4 linked regions of the Drosophila melanogaster genome follow. The protein of the gene in region 4 purifies or fractionates together with the protein of the main gene of each other region. This does not show direct contact. Each region holds a gene or a part of one and is shown on either strand. Other genes may lie near its edges. The genes, in order: Ykt6, Syx8, Vti1a and Syx5.

Region 1 (5,731 bases), on a different chromosome or scaffold from region 4:
TCATTCCCTGTACAAATGCAGACTTACAATCCATATGAATTCAGTTCTTGTTGATTCGTTCGTCCATCACTTCCTGTAGCCAGATTTGTTTGTTATGTGTATATGTCTGTACATAGGTCAGTATTAAGCGTTGTACCAAATCGTTGTTTATATACTCGTATAGTAAATTGTGACACTCAGTTTGGATTGATTTTAATTATAGTTTAGTAGCAGATATTGAGCCCAAAGTTGCGTCTGCAGCTGGCGTTGAGTCGGTGCTTGTGATTCCCATGCCGCGCCAGCTGTAGATCCATCCTCCCCCCAAAAATATTATAGAAACACAACAGGTGAGATTAGTTTGAGGCAAGCTAATGGGCGTCCAGAACAGTGCGTTCCATGGCCATAAAGCAACTTCCGTATTGACACACATTGTATTCTTTTTCGAATTTGTATTAAAATGATTCAATTGTTGCACATCGATAACCATCAATTAAAAATTGTATTTGAAATTTCCTAATTGACCAAAATTGGTAATGGTATCAAATAATCTTAAAGACTAAGCGTTGATTGAGGCTGTCTTAAAAAACAGAACGTTTGATAACACAATAAAACAGTCGCAAGTCAGGACTTTAAAGAAGCATTAATCCTTAAGCATTTGTGGTTATCCAAATGCATTTTGATACCATGTTAAAACACACAACTCGAAATTACAACATTTAGAATTGACCCAAAATCAGTTTTGTGGACCTGAAACGCCCCGTAGACACCCACCCACCACCACCACGACCCAAAGACACCGGCACCTTCTGTAACACTAGGCAAAATGACACTTAGATGATTCATCCCCAATGAGCCAAACGTATCCCACTTAGGACCCACATTAAGAGTTTCGAGGCGCTTTCAATCTATTTATGTATTGCAGTTGTACACTTTTATGTGAAAATGCGAAATAAAGATCGCTATTTATGTAGATGGTTCACCAGTATTTTGATGGGACCACCCCACATACACTTAGAAAACGACCATATTTGCGACAAGCTTTTCCAGGGGAATGGCTTGCATGTCGACGACCACAATGACGAGATGATTGCGCACTCCCACCGGCTTTTTGATCATCAATCTTACCTCGAAGTATTTCAGCAGAAAGCGCCACTTTAGCTCGCTTTTCTCGCGCTCCGCCAGTCGCTCGAAGTCTTCAGCCCGAAGTCCCAGGATACGTTCTGCCGGATGTCCAGCTAACCGGGCTTCGACGAGAGTGCCGGTCTGGTCGGACAAATGAATGTTGATATTGAAGTAGCTAATGGATCGTGGTTCATCATTGTCCAATGAAAAATACTGCTGGCAGGCGTCCGAGGCGCAATCTTGCAGGTTCCGTGGTATATGTTGTTGACAGGCAATGCTGTAAAATAAAAGGGCTTTTAAGAATATGTCTTGTAAACTATGTAACGGATAGTGGGAAGCGTTTCGGCGGTTAGGAAGGGATGGGGATGTACAACACCCACCACTTCCTGTTGACGTGGGAGGTCAATCCATCCAAGTCGAACTTGGTGACCATCCCATACAGCACTGCAGTAAACTGATGTATGGACGGATCCTGCAGTTCGCCCTCGGCGCGTGAATATATCTGTCTTACCGTCATCTGCGCCTGAATGCTGGCAACTGAAAGAGTTATAGTAAATAATAATACTGCATTAATTATCCTTTACTCACCTGCAGGCATGTTGTCCAGCTCTGCCTGGTCACAGCCACTAAAAGTTGTTAGAGGCACAGTGGCGGCGAAAGCTAGCAAGAGACGGCAATCATCTCCAGCCGCCTGAGGATTTTCGCAAATAAGTGTGCAATTGGAATGGGAGAGGACGAGAGAACGATGAAAGTTCGAGTAGGAAACACGCACGTCGATCAAATGAAGGACAGTGCGACGTGGCTGCCATTGCTGGGCACGTTGTATCCAGTCGGGTTGCCAAACGGAGAGCAGCATACCTTCCGGATAGCTGGCATCGATCACGATTACTTCCAAGCACTGTAGCAGCTCCTGGACCTCACTTAGTGGCCCCTGCAGCTTTCGCTTTATCTGACGCACTGGACGCACTGCAGCCACTACTACCAGTAGATTCACATTGGTGGTGATTATCTTATCGGGAAATCCCAAGCCGGAACGCACATCCGCCAGCTTAAGGACCGCACCAAGTGGCCTTATGGGCTGATGGAGTAACTGCTGGAGAATTGTTATTTGGCCAAAGTCGTCATTGTCGTGGCGCACCACATAGCCGGATCCCTCGTTGACCACCAGGGCGCAGGAGACCGTCGCTTGGGGCTGATAACGCTGTTCTCCCGGAGCAGCAAACGGTATGGACATCACTTTAGCGCCCACAATGTCTACCACATGGCCGATCTGCAGCATGGCCGCGTACTCATCCACACAGTCCCGCTGGCCCCAGCACTTGCAATTGGTCAGGTGATTGGGGGAATCTCGGATGGTCAAGCTGAGAACCCCTCGTTCGGTGCCACTCATCTTGTCATAGAAGATGTTCGGCGAGGATTTGGAGACAATCAGGGCAACGGTGGAGAAACGGGTCATTGTGGGACGCATCTCTGCCAACCGCTGGAACTTAATACGCCTTGCCATTGAAATTATTTAAGAAATCGCGACCAGTCAGATTGCAGTGCTTAAGAAAACCGTTACATTGCCGTTACCGCCGATTAGTAGTTATCGATGTTTGTAGTGATGGTACACCACAAATGGCCGTAGATTCAGTTAGTAACAGAAAGTATTGCTAACAACTTAGTTTGATAAAAACCACAATTAAAACATTTACAGAAAGTTGCGCTTATTAATTGTAACCATTGGAATCGATAATAATCGGATGGCATCCGAATACCAGACGTACCATCCCTAATAAGCTGACACACACTACGCATATGTGCACCCGCGCACACACACACGCACACACAGAGGGGAACGGCACAGATTTACTGCGTTAAACAAACTCACTTGTCGCACTTTTCCACGAATGCCAGTGCGCTGAAAGTGAAACCCATCCGCCGGAGCATAGTAGGATTAGCCAGGACAACCGTTCAGCTCAGTGCCCCAGAAGCATTTAATTGGAGGAGCAACAGTCGAGCAACCCGCGACCCGCAGACCCAGTCTTGGCAGCCCACAGCCACTCAAAATGGTCAAACTATTCGCGTTGAGCATCTTTCACAAGGGCGCCAGCGAGGCGCGTCTCCTGAAGACCGCCTCGGACCTGCAGTCCTTCTCCTTTTTCCAACGTGGCACCGTCAACGAGTTCATGACGTGAGTATGCATGTGGATGCCAAAGAACGGCGCAGGCTCAAAGAGTCATCAATGACGAACACCCCCCTAAACAACTCCTCCTCTTGCAGTTTCGCTTCGAAGACGATTGTGGAGCGCACACAGCCGGCCCTGCGGCAATCGGTGAAACAGGATGCCTACATGTGTCATGTCTATGTGCGGGCGGACAATCTGGCCGGTGTACTGATCGCCGATCATGAGTATCCGCATCGCGTGGCGCACACGCTTATCACAAAGATTCTGGATGACTTTACGGCCAAGGTGTCGGCCGATCAGTGGCCCAATGGCACGGAGGCCACTATCTCATTTGACTTGCTGCCAGCGTTTCTAGCACGCTATCAAAATCCCGTCGAAGCAGATCCGCTGACGAAAATGCAAAACGACCTGGACGAAACGAAGATCATACTGAAGAATACCATCGAGGCGGTGCTGGAGCGGGGCGAGAAGCTGGACGACATGGTCAGCAAGTCGGAGAAATTGTCGCTGCAGAGCAAGGCGTTCTACAAGACGGCGAAAAAGACTAACTCCTGCTGCAGCTTCACCTAGACGACAGCTGCACCTCTCATCACCCCCCACCACACGCTAATCCTCTCAAGCAACAACCACAACAGGAAACACCAGAAAATGCAAATCAAAGACAACACAAAGGATAATGGATAACACGATAACACCAACAAACTACAACCAAACAAACTCCAAGGGAGCGGTGCGACTTGGGCTTTGATGATTGCTTTTTATAAATGAATTAGTTAATTTTATATACTATATATATATATTATATTATATACTGTATGAATAGGATGGCCAGTTGCCAGTTACGATAGTCCGCTAACCCAATGTCTACCTGTCTGTATATGTCTACGCTTTGGATATCTAAATGTTAATTACTACCAATACAGATTACGATCTAAACCCATGTGCTTAACATAATCTTCTCTTCACTTATGTGTTGGCACGGCGGTCCAAAATTGGCCCTTTGCTAGCTATTGATGTTGTGGGCCTTCTTATCGCCTCCACGGCGGATCTATGTATACCAATCGGATCGGAAGGCTGCACCTATGTATACACATGCAGTCGCACTTCCGATCCGGGCAACTGGCGGTCGGAATGTGTGGGCGTTTCAATAAAGAAGTATTATGGGAAATGTGAACCAAGCTCGTTTTCATTGCTCACATATACAAACCTTATCTTTGTCAATTTTGGCAAAATGTACAAACTATTTGTACGAGCTCTGTACATAGCACATGAACTTATTTTTATTTATGTAATACGTACCACTTTATCTTAAGTGCAAATTCCATTCCTCCCAAAAAAGCAAAATCAATTTAAAAGTGATTTTCTGTTGGCGTTTATTTATTATATAGAAGACACCTATTTCGCTTCTTGTAAAGATTTCCGTTACATTTTTCATATTTATGCGTTTTCCTTACGTTTTCGTGTTTAACCTTTTGGATTTTGGTTATGTTTAATGGGTTCGGTTTGTATAGCCTAGTATAAGATAGGTAAATCGATTACAATTTAGTTTTCGCCCCCTCTCCATCGCAATTTTCTTGTGTGTTTGCGCGGGGAGAAAGGGGAGGCGGTGCATTATAAATATATGCATTATACTGCATACCTATATCGTTTCGTTATAATTAATATAATATTGTGTGTGCTAACTTAGCTTAAGCTGCAAACATTGATTCAAACGCGTTTGCTTGGCTTCTCGTTTTTTATTGATTTGCATCAACATTGTATGCATTTTTTTTTTGTGTTAGTGATCTATAGTAATATTTAGAATTTATTCAAATGCTTTCAATATATGCAAGTGTAAATATTAGTCGATGCAATGTTCTAAATGCACGCTCCTTCGAAATGGCTAAGAATTTGCATTTGTGTTTCCTGGTATGTGTATTTTTTCTTCTCAATTTTTTCGCTAAAAATTAGCATTGGTCAACACAACAAATGAAAATCAAGAAAAGTTCTCCCTTCTTTTCAAATCAGTAAAAAATACGTGTGTATGTGCGGCTGGATGAGTTTTGTATTCATTTAAAAACTAGTTTGGATAAATTGTTGGCTTGCTTGCTTTTGATTGAATTTATATTATTTAGGACTTAGTGGGGGATCCCCGTTTCATCGAATTCCAATCGAAATACGTACAAGTAAGGTTCTAACGTGTTTCGTTTACGCAGCTGTTATCACAATGGGTTTTGGTTTCAACTTGCATTATTTTTATTATTTTAAAGTTAGTTCCGTTTGCCGGTGGCAACTTTAGCTTACATGCAGCAGCTAAATGTTATTTGCCCCACGATTCTAGTGTTTAATGGTTTCCATATTTTGTTTTCAGAACCCTCAAAAGCCGCTCCTAACTTTGGCGCTTAAAAGTATGCTTGTTTTGCAGGTCTTGCGTGCATGTACACATGTACATGTAATGTGTTCGCTTGTGTTTGTATCATCTAT
Region 2 (3,177 bases), on a different chromosome or scaffold from region 4:
GATGGCTTGCCTTGCCTTTTCGATTTCCCACTCCCGCGCGGAAAACGCTCAAAACGGCGGATGCGCTCGCTTCCGATTAGTGGGAATGCTCGCGCACGCTTGTACAGGCACTCGGCATTGTGGCCAGCGGATTTTGGTCGCGATTTGTTTCCTTCTTGGTTGTAATTTGAAACAAATAAAATAGAAATCACGACTAAATAAATTGTGTGTACGTGTGAGCTAGCGATGGGCGATAGTTGCGTACCTGCTACTAGTCGCGATTATTTCACCGTGACAAGTCACCGCTTTGGCGGCATGTCACGACTCCATATTTTTCAAGTACAAAATTGACGTAGCACAGCAAATTTTAAACAATATGAATCAAGCATACCAATTGCATACTACTTTTATGAAATCCTGCAGCATACTTCCAAAATATTTATAAATAGCGCTCATTGTAACCCAGTGATTTCTTCACACCTTGTGTCACAGCCATCGTAGCCCAATGCATGCATGTGTGGGTGAATCGTGTCACCATATCGATACCGTGACTTTGTCCACCGCGCCGGGCCGGTCCCAACTATCGTATGTGCGTGGGTGGCCGGAGTCTGGCAACGCCCTTTGCTAATTTCAGGGTGGTCACACAATGCAAGGTGGTATATATGGAAATTAACAATTTTTTAAAATATATTGTGAAAACTAGTTTACATATTTTAAAGAGGTAATAAAACATTTGTTTTTAGAAGCATAACAAAATAGCTTATATAAGAAACCGTAATTTCGTCATTAAATATAATCTGTTACCTTTCGGTTTAGAAATTTTGAAATAATTTAAAAATAAGCCAATTCAAATTATTTTCATGTAATTTTTCAAAAACCGAAGGAATTCAACAAATCTGAACGCAAATATACGTTTATATGTATGGTGTCTATGTGCATAGTGGGGGGATTTATTTGTGTTCAGTTTGATTGTGTCGACAATTTTGAAGTTTTGTTTTCGGTTCCCTAATTTAATATGTACTTGGCGTATTGCGGCTCATACTTGTCGATGTAGTGCTGGACAAACCGACACCTTATAATAATGAAGTGCCCATTCAACAGTGCGTAGTCCAGTGCCGACTTGGCCAGTAGCTTCCCAATGCCATGTCCGCCCAGTTCCTCCGGGACGTTGGTGCTGTTGATGGTCATCACACCGTCCCTGATGGAGTATACCAATACAGCCCGGAGCTCGCCAATGTCGGTGTAGAACCGACCTCTCTTATGCCGGACAACAATGTGCGTACCAAAACATCTTTCCTGCGAATTTAGGTTTGGAACCTTTAAAATTTGACCAGTTAGGGTGTGGTTACTTGTGGGGATGGTGTAATCTCTCGAGCACAAGGAATACGTTCTTCGGCCACCTTGCAGAATCAGAATTGGAAGCAATTTGGAAAGCATTTCTTAATTTTTGTGAGTAGTTTCAGGAATTCGGGCCGAATAATCATACTTCACATCATAGTGACGATTTTCGAGTGACCAGCTTAAATTATTTAGTAAATAGTTCACACTAGCAACGCACCTGCGAGGTGAATTGATAAAGGATTGGGGATTAATCGCGGTGCATTTTTCCAGCTTATCTACAGCTACATAAGTATAATATCTAAATCAGTTCAAACATTGAAGATTATTTCCGAATCCCTTCTTACTGGCAATGTGACCGTACTCGCGCTTACTTATTTTGCTACCAGCCATCAGCTGTTGCTCGGCTATTGTTTTTGTTTTTGTTACTTGGATTGCTGGAGGCGTAGTTTTCTGCTTTTGATAATTACTCATAGCAAAAGCAGAGAAATGGCGCTGGTGGATCACGATTCCTGGGACATCGAGTACGAGGGCTGCGAGCGACTGCGGCATCAGCTGCTGGTATACCTCAACCAGCGGCAGCAGCTCAATCCGAGGACGAGCCAGTTCGTCCAACTGACAAGCAGCATTCAGACGGGAATAGAGCAGCTGGCCAAGGACATGAAGCACCTCAAGGTGGTGCTGGACAACGCCATCACCTGGGAGACGAGCCCGGAGGAGGAGCTGCAACAGCGGCGCATCGACTGGGATAGACTTACTTCGCAGCTGCGCGAGATCCGCGAGAAGTTCGCAAACAGTAGCCGCTCCAATGTCCCGGCCGCATCCGGTTCTGCTTGGCAGGATCAGGATCTCGGCCCAGGTCACAGCAATTCCTCGCGGAATACCGCCTTGGATGTGGAGGCTCTGAAGCAGAAAAAGACCGAGATGCTGGCGCAGCAGAACGAAGGACTCGAGGTTCTATCAGCCACATTGTCCAGACAGCGCCAACTGGCCACACAGCTGGGCAACGAGGTGGAGGACCAGAACAGTGGGTATTCCCCAGTCCCTGCACTACCAATGCTAATCCCTACCTCCTTGTAGATATCCTTGACAACTTGGCCAATGCCATGGACCGTGTGGAAACGGGTGTGCAGCGGGAAACACAGAGCATTGGACAGGTTAACCGGCGGGACAGTACCTGGGGCTACTGGCTCGTCATCATAGCCTTGTTCGTCGCCATCATTGTCGTGGTCTTCGTCTAGCTCCCACGATCCATTCCAGTTGTTATACTACTTTATACTATGACCTGCGTGGAATGTCTATCTGTTAACCCAAAGTTTGATTATTTATGTATACACCAATTAAAGTAGGATTTATAAGTATTTACGTTCGCGGATCGATCCCCTTGATCAGGTTTATTTAGTCGTTACATTACGGTTAACAGATGTACAGGTGTTTATATACTTAAGCCAAATCGGAGGCGTAGGGCACGTTCGCCAGGTGCCCGATGGCGCCGACGGCCAGCTTGGAGCTGCCCACCTTCTTGGCCGCCTCCTGGACCTGCGACTGCGAGATGCCATCGATTGCGCCAAGCAGGGCGTCCGCCTCCAGCACGTTCCGGGTGAGCGCCGCCTGGCGACCGATCTCCTTAATTAGACCACCGTCCGACGAGTAGCGCGAGATGATGCGCGCCTTCAGAAGAGCCTTGCCTCTGGCCACATCCTTATCAGACACCGAAGCCGACTTCAGGCCGCGCACCAGGAACTCCACGGTCTTGCCAATGTCCTTGGAGTCGGCGGAGACCACAAAACCGAACAGACCAGCGTCCGAGTAGCTGGCATTCACAGCCTTGACAGAGGCTCCGACGCCGCCGGCGCAGTT
Region 3 (5,548 bases), on a different chromosome or scaffold from region 4:
TAGAACATGTGGGCACCGGGACGCACATCTACGTAGCCCCAGTCCTGCTCTCCGGGACCGTATCCGGGTTTGCCTAGGATGCGCCATTAGTTCATTTAAAGATTACCACATTTCAGAGATAGCGCTCGATTTACGATTCTTACCATGCGCCAAGGCGGCGAACAATGCCAGGAGTGCTACCAACCGAATCGACATTTTCAACTGAAAGTGATACTCAAGCGCACGGGCTTATTTAACGGGTACAGCACTATCAGCAGAACTTGACATCAGATAATAGTTTTTCAAAAATGATAACTTCTATCGATCTGGTTCTTTCAATCATTCAGAAGAGGGATGATAATCATTTTTGAATTTGTATATTCCCTTTTAAAAAGAAGTTGAATATCTGTTTATGTACGTATATTTAGGTACAACTAATGTTGAAACGATAACTTCCTCCATAAATAATCCCTTTTTCATAAACAATTTTACAATATTGTATATTATTATTATAATGGGTGGAATTGTTTTGCCTAAACTAAAACCAAATGCAGATCTCAACTGATAAGACCATTTGAATTCGAATAACTCGAATTATCGGTTATCGATAGCGTTCAAATGGCTGGCAACTCTGCGATGTTGGCTGTTTTTGCACAAACAGCTGTTGTCGCACTGTTGTTGTCGCCTTTGTGTCTGCAGGTGCAAAATAATATATTAATTGGATTAACTTGGGATTAATCGAGCGATCACAGCCATGGCCACGATGCGCATACCCAAACAAAAGGTGATCCTGTGCGGCGACTACGGAGTGGGCAAGAGCTCCCTGTTCCGGCGCTTCGCCACCAACACCTTCATCACGGATACGGACAGGAAATCCACGTTGGGACTGGACCACATCGATAGGGAATACAGTGTGAATGAAAAGCAGATCAAGGTGGGCTCGGGAACCTCTAAAAGGGCGTGATGGCTGAGATATGAATCCTTAAGCTCTTTAGTTCGATTTCTAGACGAAAGCCACAGTTCTTCAGACTTACAACTTATTGCGTTGTGAGACACTTATGTATATACCGTCTTCTTTGACAGCTCCAACTCTGGGACACCGGTGGCATGGAGCGTGTGGCCTCGGTCACATCCTCGTACTACAAGTTCGCCGAGGGAGCCATCCTGGTCTTTGCTTTGGACAACGCCGCTTCGTTCCACTCGCTGTCGCAGCACTTGCTGGACATTGTGACCTATGCAGAGAATGCCAAGATCTTCATCTGTGGCAATAAGAGCGATCTGGATGGCAGGGAGCCGGAGGTCAGCGATGAGGAAGTGGAGGCCTTCTGCGAGCAGTGCCACTCACTGATCAGTGCCACGTACAAGACCTCCTGTCGCAGCGGCGCCGGTGTGGAGGAGATGTTCCGTGACATCTCTAGGCAACTGGTCCACGCCAATCGCTCCAAAATGGAACTGCAGGCACTGGAGCACAAGAGCTTCCAGGTGGACACTGCGAGCAGCGGCGCGGCGACCAACGAGGAGGACGCCTCCTCCTGCGGCTGCTAGCAGTTGGGGAACATTGAGTTCGGCTAGGAACCCTTATTCCCGCCAGGCTCAATGCTCACGCAGAGATGCATTTTTACTGTTTCCTTTATTTATTGATAGCTTTCGGCTATGTTATGATTTTTAGATACGTACATGTTCAATTCGAATTTTTACGAAAAATACGTCCCGAACGCGAACACGAGTCATAGAGTAGGATTAGTTTCTATTAACCAGGCGCCAAACATTAACCACTTAAACTTTGTACACGTAAGCTAGGATGGCGGATACGCGAGTGATAGGTTAGAAATCTGCGGTAAGAATTAAAAAGTAATAGGAATTCCATCGATTAACAAGAAGGTCAATTTAATCTTAAAGGTAAAAGGACAACAAAATATATAGACATCGATTGACCGCAGATAACTACTCTAAGCTTCGACTCTTATTGCACGTAATACTCCATCCTATCTTATATAGATTAGTGCGTAATCTGCAGCTTTCTTCCACAGAATATCTCGTAAAAATAAAATATACTAAACAATAAATAATCAACTCACGAAATTGGAATGGACAGGCTTCTATAACATTTGAATTTGGGCTAAGATCATTGGCTATTGGTTTGCTAGCTAAAATTACTACGACGAGGCGGTGCTGCTTGAACTGGGTGCGAAGGTCAGATAGAGACTGACGCCCACGGCCACCACAAAGCAGACACCCACTCCATACAAGACCACCTTCTCCCGCAGGGCTCTTAACATCATGGTATTCAGAGTGCGAGAAGCTCTTCCCAGCTCGGCATTGGTTTCTCGAAGTCGAGCCCTGGCTCCCTGTAGAGTTTCCCTTTGGTGGTGCAGATCATTTAGGACCTGGGCGCCCAGTTGCTCCGTCTCCAAGGCCACTCTGTACCCTTCGGTTAACCTGTTGCCCGTCCGTTCAATCCTTTCCGAGTTGTCCAAGAGGCGTTGGCGTTGATCTGTACTTATGGACACATCCTCATAGCTGTCACCCAAGTCCAGAGTGGTGAATGTGTTGGCTTGGGAGCGCTGTTTGTCCTTGGTCAACCTGTACTCCGCCTGCAGCCGTTTCAGTTCTGCCTGGGCCACCTGCAGCTTTCCGTTGAAGCTGCTCCGCAGTCCAGGATTTAGCTCCCTCACCTCCAGACCCATCTGCTCCAGCAATTCCTGAGCCTCGGGCAAACTGGAGTCGATCTTGCTGCACAAATCATGGCGCTCGCCTGGAGTAAATGGACAAATGGTAATCACCATAATGTACAATCCATGGACAATCATCCCACTCACTGTTGTTGTTTTGCTGCTGCAGCCGTCCAATATGGGCCGTTATTTCTGCTATTAACGTGGCGTATTGCTGTTCGTATTGCTCCAGAAGCGACATTTGTGCGGTTTTTATTCTACCTTATTCAGTTGTTTATGGTATTTGTTCTGTTTTAGTTCGCGAAAATTACAGATTTATCGAAGAAAAGAAGTAAACATTGTCCAAGTGTGGCCGAGTCATGAGGTGAACAGTAATACAGCAATCTATAAATACTTTTAAGTCGTGGTCACTCTGATTTCGAGTCAGCGTTGCCATACTCATGTAAAAAACACTGCCAACTTCAAGGACTACAATATTCTCGTAAGAACTCAGATAAAACCAACTTCCGTTTTAAATACGTAAATAAAACACAAACATATCTATTATTTTATAAATTCCATTTTATTGTACTTAGAGTAATTAATAAATTAATTAATTAGGTTCAGCTTTATGCGAGTGGAGATTCTTTGTTAACCTAAGCAACTGTTTTGGCGGTAGTACGATTTAATAATACTACATGATACATATGTACACTGTTCATCACATTTATGTTTTGTGCTGTCCTGGTCCGCGATTAGAAAACTCTTAACCCTCGACCAGTGTGGCCTTGTCCCCTTTTCGGAGCACCAGTTCCAATTGGGACAGCAAGCCAATAGCCCGAAAGTTCTCCTTGAAGAGCACGAAGTCCTCCAGCGGTTTTAGGTACTCCAAGGCCTGGTGGTAGCTTTCCAACTCCTTCAGCATGCATAAAGCCTTCTTATCCTCGGGGTCTGGGGATGTGTGTCCATTGGTTTGGCTGCCGGAGGAGCTGGATCCATTGGGGATCTTTTTTGGCGAGGCGGGAGCAGAGGCGGGTTTGGTGGACGCAGCTCGAGCTGGTGCAGGTGAGTCCTTTCCCTTGGAAGAAAGGGCAGGCGTGGATTTGCCACTTGTTCCGCCTCCCTTGGGGGCGTTCTCCTTGCTGCTGGCACTGTCTCTTCCCCCGCTATTATTGTTGTTCTGCTCGTTGGGACTGGAACTTCGACTGTGCTTGCTGGTTAAGGTTGATTCTGCTAGCGGATATGGTGGTGAGTTCACCGCTGAGTTAATCTCTTGCACTTCGTCATCATCGGGTGACTCCATTTTGGGTCTCTTGGCCAACTGAACGGGCTGGAAGGGACTGGCCCGCTGCGGTGGAACATTTGGCGGCAATTGGGGCTGAAAGGGTTCCCTTTGAGGTGGCATAGTGGGTGGAAACTGTTGCATCTGCTGCTGCTGCTGGAGTTGCTGTTGCATTTGCTGTTGATGCCGCTCGAAATAAAAGTCGTTGAAGCTGGCGAACCCGGGGTGTGGAGTAGGATGTCCGGGATGTCCTGGAAACGGTGGCCATGGGTGGCCCATTTGATGCTGCTGCTGTTGCATATGTTGCTGCTGGAGGGCAAAGTGCTGCTGTTGCTGCTGCTGTTGCTCTTGATAGCTCTGCTCCTTTACATCCATACTGTCATCATCTTCTTCGTATTCTCCGTACTGTTGCATGTAGGTCATGTACTGCTCGGGCATCTCCTCCAGTTTGGCCACTCTTTCAGCGCTCGCGGGCGGAAAGAGATGGGCTAGGTCCTGTACGATGTCCGGGATCCACAGGGAGGATCCTAGTGGCTTCAACTGGTTGCTGGCTAGTTTTTGGGCAAAGCCTTGAAGATGAGTCTCTCGGAAACGGTTTAACCAGCGATTGTCTGCTATAAAGGATGTGCTCCCTATGACTTGTCTGGCATTCTCCGCCTTGTCCTTGATCATTCCGTGGGTAATGCTACCTCGCAGCTGGGGATTGATATTGGCCCTTACTAGCCATTCGTATACCACTGCATTGATGTAGGCGCACTTTCGGCTCCTCTCGATCTCCTCCACCATGGCCTGCTGCTCAACGGCCTCCAGGTTGGAGGGAACTTCCAGACGCAGGGTGGGCAGCGCATTCGACTGCAGTCGCCTGCCACCCAAGACACTGGGGTCAAAGTGCAGGGCACATACCACTGGCTTTTTGAAGGGCACAATTCGTCTTAGGGAGGCGTGGCACGCCTCCTTCCACAGCTTGTGGAAGGGGTTCTCCGGCCGGGGAAACGCAAAGAACTGCATACTCGGGTGCTGACGCGAATTGGACAAGCATCCGATGATGCAGCACCGCCGGATGGTCGGCATCTCGACCTGCGGATGAGGATGAAATTGCTGTTGGCCCCGAATCTTAAATGCTGGAGTGCTGGCGTTGCTCACGCTTCGCCAGGTCACGAAATGTAAATGAAATTAAAACAAATCCACTGGAATCTGCAAGAGAGTGTTTGCACACATTATTAAGCTGGCTATTTAACTTCAATTTAAGTATCTGCGATGTTCTGTGTTCCTTCATGGTCGCGTTCTCAATTTACCGCCAAAGTTCAGGAGGTCTGGCAAGTTCTGGGCTAGGACATGGAGTCTGGCATCCTTTAACCCTTTTCCTTGGCGCACTTTGCAACAAGTGTCTGCATTTGAACTATCTTAGTGCAATTGAGCCCACGATTTCCATATTGCAATGCAATCGGAGTTTTATATTTACATATTTCAGTTTCAAACGTATACGAGTTTGGCAAATAACAATAAATTAATGTGCTGATCTCCATGATTAAAACGAGTAAATTACCCGATTGAGATCGTGTTTTCCCAGAACACAGATATTTACAACAAACCAATGAGTTAGCAACTCTAGAAGGACAACTTTACAAATGAAAAA
Region 4 (6,225 bases):
TTACCGGATAAAATGCCCAGATTGGATGATTGCGATGTTTTCCAAGCTGACAATGCTATCATGACCCAAATCTTTCCGCATAACATTGAACCAGCTGAAGTAACTCAGATAGTTTGTGAACCGTCGTTGCCATCCGTTTTAAATTCTTTTGGAGAAATAACATTTAGCCACCCGAAAAATCGGAAAAGAAAGCTAATAGTAGACAAACGAATTGAATACACCCGGGAGCAGCTGGTGAAGCATAGACAGAAATATATGGAAGAATACCTTTCAAGGAATGTGATAGTGCCAAAATCCTCGGATTTACGGAAACCCCCTAAGGAACTTCTCTGTAAACTGTATAATAAGTAGGAGCCTTATACATTTTGCTATTTAAAACTTTTTAATTTTTTGATGTAGTGTAAGTTTTTTAGCTCTTCATAACCACTCCGGACCTAAGCTCAGTAATGAAGAAAAGGAATTCGAGGCAGAAAACACATTGAGAACCATATTTGGCTGCGAGTTTACCGAGAATCTTTCTAAAGAGATATTTGTGCGACCATCGCAGGCTACAAAATGTAGGGATAAAGCGGCACATATCTATCAGCCCGAACCGCTTGAAGTGGAAGACTGTGTGCAACCTCAACTTCAGCCACGTGATGATGTAAATCAGAATTATCATAATGAAATGAATGAGCACGGCATATACCGTGAGGATAATCATGATGGTGAGTTCAGCCAATGTTTACAACATGCTATCGTAAATAAAATATAATCTCATTGCAGATACCTACAGCGTAATGATGAGTCTCTTAAGCATTTGGCGTAATAATCCGAAAATCACGGGAATCGATGCCATTGATTTTATAAAAACGTTTGATAGTCGCATCAAGGCTTCGTTAGCCTTTCTCCATTTGTTGTGTGAGTTCGAAAAAGAACAAAATGTGTGTTGGAAATAACGTATAGCTTAAATTTCAGATCTTGTTCGAGACCATTTTATAGAGATATCAAAGCGAGCTAATTCGCTGGAAATGTACCAAATTACTCTTGGCAAAGAGTCCGCTAAGCTAATAGACAATCTTATGCTGAGTGAGACTCTGTGAATATTTTTAGATAATTTTTTTCAAGATTACCAAACAACTTTGTAGTTGACAATCTTCCACATTTTTGTTGTTGTTTTGTTTTCTGTTATTGCTATTGTGTTATAACATATAAGTTGAGCCAATCTCTAACCTAGATGGCTTTAATCTACTCTTTTTCCATACAATCTTATGGTACAATTGAGCAACGATGTCCTGGATAATTCGTTTCATTTCAAGAATTGAAAAATTCTATAGATGTTACTTGTTGCTGTCTATAAAAATAGTTTTTTTTTCATTATCATATTAGTTTCGTGTACCCATTAAAAGTTGTTTGTTATCTTTGTTACTATTACGTTATCGTAGCTATAATTCATTAACATTTGGAGTAATTCTCTAAACCGTAATTGTTGTCTTTGTTACAAAATCTCAATTTCTCTGACAACACCAAAAAATAAACAAGTTACAAAAACAAAGGAATACAGAGTGTTTGGCACAATTGCTTAAATTCCGATCTGCTGGGCCAGACCCGAATAGATGTGCAGCGTGCAGAATCCAATGACGGCCGCCACCAGCGCTTTAACAGCCACCGTTAGCCAAGGTCCAATGGTCAGAATGTGGAGCATGCCCTCCAGCCAGACGCCTTTGAAGACAGTCACCGCCAGAAGTAGACTAACCAGCGGCTTTAATGCCTTGTTCAAATCGTGACGGGTGAAGAGCCAGATCAGGGTGGCCGTAGTGATGTGCTGCACCAGAAGCACGTTCGATTCCAGACACTTGAGGATGTAGATCCAACTGAACTCGGTGCCTCGGGCACCCACCCACAGCATGATACCTCGGGAAAGAATCACTTCGGCGGTGGCCCCTGCGGAAGTATACGAAAATATTTAGTTTTTACTAAATTTTTGGAAGTTGTCATACATATATGGGTTGGGGTATTAAAGGTTGAGTAGGCATTGGCTCTTGTAACATTAATATATCTGAACAGAGTACTTTTCAATCTTTAAAAGCCACCCTCATCATTAATTAAGTTTAAATAAGTTGGTTCGTTCAACCTACATCCAAGTCCAGCCGTTATGAGCTTTGAGTGGCCCTTGCCGGGTATGCGACTCAAGATTAGGGCGAATCCAAGCAGATCGGCGATGTCCATGCTGCAGCGAAGAATCTCCTGCAGACCAAAGAAACCACAACATGACCTCAATAATTGGGTGAAGGTAAACAAAGATAAGCACACGTACCGCAAAGAAGTTGAACTCGCCGCTGGAGGATGGAGCGTCCGAGTAGAAGAATGTGGCCAGCACCAGCATCTTGACGAGCTGTGTGAATATATAAATGCCTCCCGCCTGCACGCACTTCCAGAAGGCTCCATATTCTGATCTGTGATTAAATAATAAGCCGGGAAAGTTCACAAATAGTTTTTTATTGACCTGGTAGAGCTGCGGACTTGGCAGTCGGCAAATCACCAGTAACCAGAAGTAAACTCACAGGCCGGAGTATTTATAGGTGAAGTAGTACGGCGTCAGCAGGGCCACACAATTTCCAAAGTGATACAGTGTCATTTTCTTTGATAAATTATGGCTATTTTATTTTGGCTTAATTAAGAGAAGAATTAAAAGTTGAAAAGAAAAAAACTAGCGTTGCTTGCCGTGGGTTATCGATATGTGCTTAACAGGGCTGACGGCATGTCAGGCAGACTATAAAAAACAAGCTAGTTTTGCAGACAATATTTTACAATAAATATTTTAATAATAACTATTATAAATAAATATTTTGAAATATTGGAAAACGTGTGTCTTTCCGAACGAAAAGAAGTAGCAACTGTTTTAATCTGTTTCGTGCCTATCGATAGTTGCTTAAATATCAACACGTCATCGTAATCTATCATCTGGAGGTGTGTTCGTGTGTGTGAGAAGAGTGTGTGTGTGTGCGTTTGAGTGAGTTTTCTGCAACCTTTAGCAATTATTATGAATTTTTTGACAAAACCATTGGGAAATACTTGAACGGAGACCAAATTTTACTTTGTTTAGGACACACAAACCTGCCAGCTAAGTGACGAGCCAAACATCAAACGGTAAACCAGTGCATTAAAGGAGAAAAACAAAGGGGAAATTTTCGCAAAGAAAAGTCCAACAGATCATTTCGTTCGTGTGCATATGAAAAACAGCAACGTCAACTCCCTGGTAAAAGCTGCAATCTGAAATGAGATGCAAACCCGAAGACGCCTTCATCAAACAGACCAGCAGGATTACAGCAGTAGCAGTACCTATACCATTCAAGAGGATCAACAGGGAGGAGCAGGCGCAGGATCTGTGGGCACGGGAACAGCTGGCGGATCGGTAGGACTATTAGCACAGTCCCTGGTTCCACCACCAACTGGTCACGAGGCGGCCATCCACATTGGAGACAACTACCAGTCGGGCGATTCCATTTCCACTCCCGATTACTCCGACGACAAGTACGGCAAGGCGGCCCGCCAGTGGAACCTACGCGCCTTCTCGGGCCACGCACTGCGCACTTTAAGTGCCGCTGCCGCCGTGGTCACCGGCAATCAACCGGGCATCAATAACGATAGCCAAAGCAACTATAGCTACCCCGCTTCCATTCCGACTAGTTCACAGTTTTACCAATCGAAGGAGGAGCCGCAGGAAACGGAACCCGAACCAGAAATATTCGTCATGGCCGCACGCGATCGAACGGGCGAGTTCGCCAATGCGATTCGTTCCCTGCAGGCTCGAAATATCACCCGGGCAGTGAATATACGCGATCCCCGCAAAGCTAAGCAGGTTCAGAGCTACTCGGAGTTCATGATGGTCGCCAGGTTTATTGGCAAGAACATAGCCAGCACCTACGCAAAACTGGAGAAGCTCACAATGTGTAAGTACATGTTTTAGTAACCCCTTAAAGTCATATTCAAAACTTTAAAATTCCCATCTTCGTTTTAGTGGCCAAAAAGAAGAGCTTATTTGATGACAGACCGCAGGAGATTCAGGAGCTGACCTATATCATCAAAGGCGACCTAAATGCCTTAAATCAACAAATTGCCCGACTGCAGGACATCTCCAAGGATCAGCGGCGTCACACAAACGGCAAGCATTTGGTGTCACATTCCTCTAACATGGTACTGGCCCTGCAATCGAAACTGGCCAGCATGAGCACGGACTTCAAGCAAATCCTGGAGGTGCGCACGGAGAACCTCAAGCAGCAGAAGACGCGACGTGATCAGTTTAGCCAGGGACCAGGTCCGTTGGCCGCGCACACCGTCTCCCCCTCGACAGCCAAGCAGGGATCTTTGCTTCTCAGCGAGGAAAACCAAGCGGTCAGCATAGATATGGGGAGCAGCGATACCACACCACTCCTATCAACCCAGACACAGATGGCCATCTACGATGATTCCGATAATTACGTCCAGCAGCGGGCGGAGACCATGCAAAATATAGAATCTACCATCGTTGAGCTCGGCGGAATATTCCAGCAGCTGGCACATATGGTTAAGGAGCAGGAAGAGATCGTGGAGCGTATTGACACGAATGTGGCGGATGCGGAATTGAATATTGAGGCTGCCCATGGGGAGATCTTGAAATACTTTCAATCCGTCTCCAAAAATCGCTGGCTGATGATCAAAATCTTCGGCGTTCTCATATTCTTCTTCTTGTTCTTCGTTGTTTTTATGTCGTAATCAAACGCCAGTTGCCCATTAAAAGCCCCATGTACCTATCCATGTATACAGCTTTTTATTTTAATCAAGATTCAATCACAATATTGTTTATTCCAAGCTGTGGCCTCCCGAAACGATTGTAAAATAAAGTTATAAATACGTTCTAAAGCAAAATACATTTATTTTAGCATGTGGTTCTTTGGTGAATTTTTCCATTCTAATGGAAGCTCTAAAATTAAATATAATTTCCAAAATATAAAGCCGAATGATAAATATGTTTGCTGATGTAAGAAACTTGTATATTACCTTAGAAAACGTGTAATGCAAGTATCAAATTGGAGAGAGACTATATCTATGTTTGCCCTGCTGATAAGGTTTAAGTGCCCTTTCATAATCTTTATTATCTTAAGTGCTCGTTGCTCCATGTTCGTCGTGTTTAGCCAAAAATTCCGCTGTCCCTCATGCTAAACAGAAAAATGAAAATTGGTTACATTGATTTGACTTTTATTTAATGCTTAAAATCCAACTACACCAAAGATGCGATATGCAAAAAATAATCAAAATAAAAACATGTTACAATCTCTTACTGCAGAAAAGTATTACAAATTGTATGAAAAAAACAAAGCTTCAAGATGTCTTTATGGATTTACACTAGAATTTACAAGTGAAGTATTGTTCGCGGTTGATGGGGACTCTTCCCCAAAAAAGGAAGTCCTCTACCCGAGTTTAGACAACTAATACACGACGCTGATGCGTTGGCGCCAACACTGAGATCCCCAGGCAAGAGCTTGCCTATGTCGAGATGAGCGAATAAACCATGCTAAAATTAGCAATTAGAAACGTTAGACAAATGAGGACCCTGGCCACAATGAATCTCAATTAGACTTACCCGTATATGTAGTAGAAGAAGCTAATCAGATAGACGGCCAGTTTAATCCAACCCTCACGCATGTTCCGGTACAAAGTATCGGTTTTCAGGACCGTGGTGGGATCATAAAGTCCGGGTCCCGACATCACAGGGCGGTTTTTGTAACTGAAAGCGATAGGGGTATTACAAAGCATGAGTGCTTAAGGGTGCTTATGTTGGGCTTGGGTGAATCTTGATCTCCTCGGATCTCAAATCACATTATATCACACGGTCAAATGAGTCACTTACCGCCAAATATGATAGGCTATGAGGGGTATGTTGATGCATAGCGAAAACCATTCGCCGCAGAACAAGAAGAGCAAGTTCAGAAAGATGTGCAGAAGGTATTCGGGCAAAACCAGCTGAAATGCAAACACATACATTACAGGGCGCACTGCGGGTGTAAGCAGTAAGTTTACTGACCGGATTGAGGCTATTGCACTGATCAATTGGGTTCTTATAATCCGTTTTAAGTTCGTCGAATGCAATGACATGAAATATGGCGAAAAATATCAAGAATGCATCCCCGATCAGGGCCACTATGTACGTGAAGGCGGTGAAGTTGAAGGCCATCTTGTAAAATCGCTGGAGCACGTCTTCCAGGT

What was found.
Region 1: the proteins of Syx5 (region 4) and Ykt6 purify together in Drosophila melanogaster (affinity purification with mass spectrometry, with the first as the bait; one large-scale study listed by BioGRID). This does not show direct contact.
Region 2: the proteins of Syx5 (region 4) and Syx8 purify together in Drosophila melanogaster (affinity purification with mass spectrometry, with the first as the bait; one large-scale study listed by BioGRID). This does not show direct contact.
Region 3: the proteins of Syx5 (region 4) and Vti1a purify together in Drosophila melanogaster (affinity purification with mass spectrometry, with the first as the bait; one large-scale study listed by BioGRID). This does not show direct contact.

Annotation. Positions count from the first base shown.
Region 1 is NC_004354.4:7,917,527-7,923,257, forward strand, and holds Ykt6 (YKT6 v-SNARE), read left to right. Parts: upstream 1-2,882; 5' UTR 2,883-3,149; coding exon 3,150-3,274; intron 3,275-3,363; coding exon 3,364-3,838; 3' UTR 3,839-4,440; downstream 4,441-5,731. Other genes in the region: hdm (hold'em), read right to left, coding at 991-1,378, 1,482-1,638, 1,690-2,605.
Region 2 is NT_037436.4:16,585,608-16,588,784, reverse strand, and holds Syx8 (syntaxin 8), read left to right. Parts: upstream 1-1,727; 5' UTR 1,728-1,806; coding exon 1,807-2,344; intron 2,345-2,397; coding exon 2,398-2,558; 3' UTR 2,559-2,677; downstream 2,678-3,177. Other genes in the region: CG32163 (uncharacterized protein), read right to left, coding at 985-1,416; UQCR-C2 (Ubiquinol-cytochrome c reductase core protein 2), read right to left, coding at 2,761-3,177.
Region 3 is NT_037436.4:689,887-695,434, forward strand, and holds Vti1a (vesicle transport through interaction with t-SNAREs 1a), read right to left. Parts: upstream 3,034-5,548; 5' UTR 2,893-3,033; coding exon 2,799-2,892; intron 2,735-2,798; coding exon 2,136-2,734; 3' UTR 1,600-2,135; downstream 1-1,599. Other genes in the region: CG32483 (uncharacterized protein), read right to left, coding at 1-73, 144-195; RabX6, read left to right, coding at 734-913, 1,063-1,524; CG13894 (uncharacterized protein), read right to left, coding at 3,397-4,983.
Region 4 is NT_033779.5:16,304,398-16,310,622, forward strand, and holds Syx5 (syntaxin 5), read left to right. Parts: upstream 1-2,948; 5' UTR 2,949-3,262; coding exon 3,263-3,932; intron 3,933-4,000; coding exon 4,001-4,734; 3' UTR 4,735-4,877; downstream 4,878-6,225. Other genes in the region: c(2)M (crossover suppressor on 2 of manheim), read left to right, coding at 1-347, 400-707, 766-900, 958-1,082; CG5861 (uncharacterized protein), read right to left, coding at 1,562-1,923, 2,118-2,226, 2,297-2,435, 2,544-2,617; cni (cornichon), read right to left, coding at 5,506-5,533, 5,603-5,746, 5,870-5,982, 6,044-6,193. UniProt on the Drosophila melanogaster protein: Mediates endoplasmic reticulum to Golgi transport.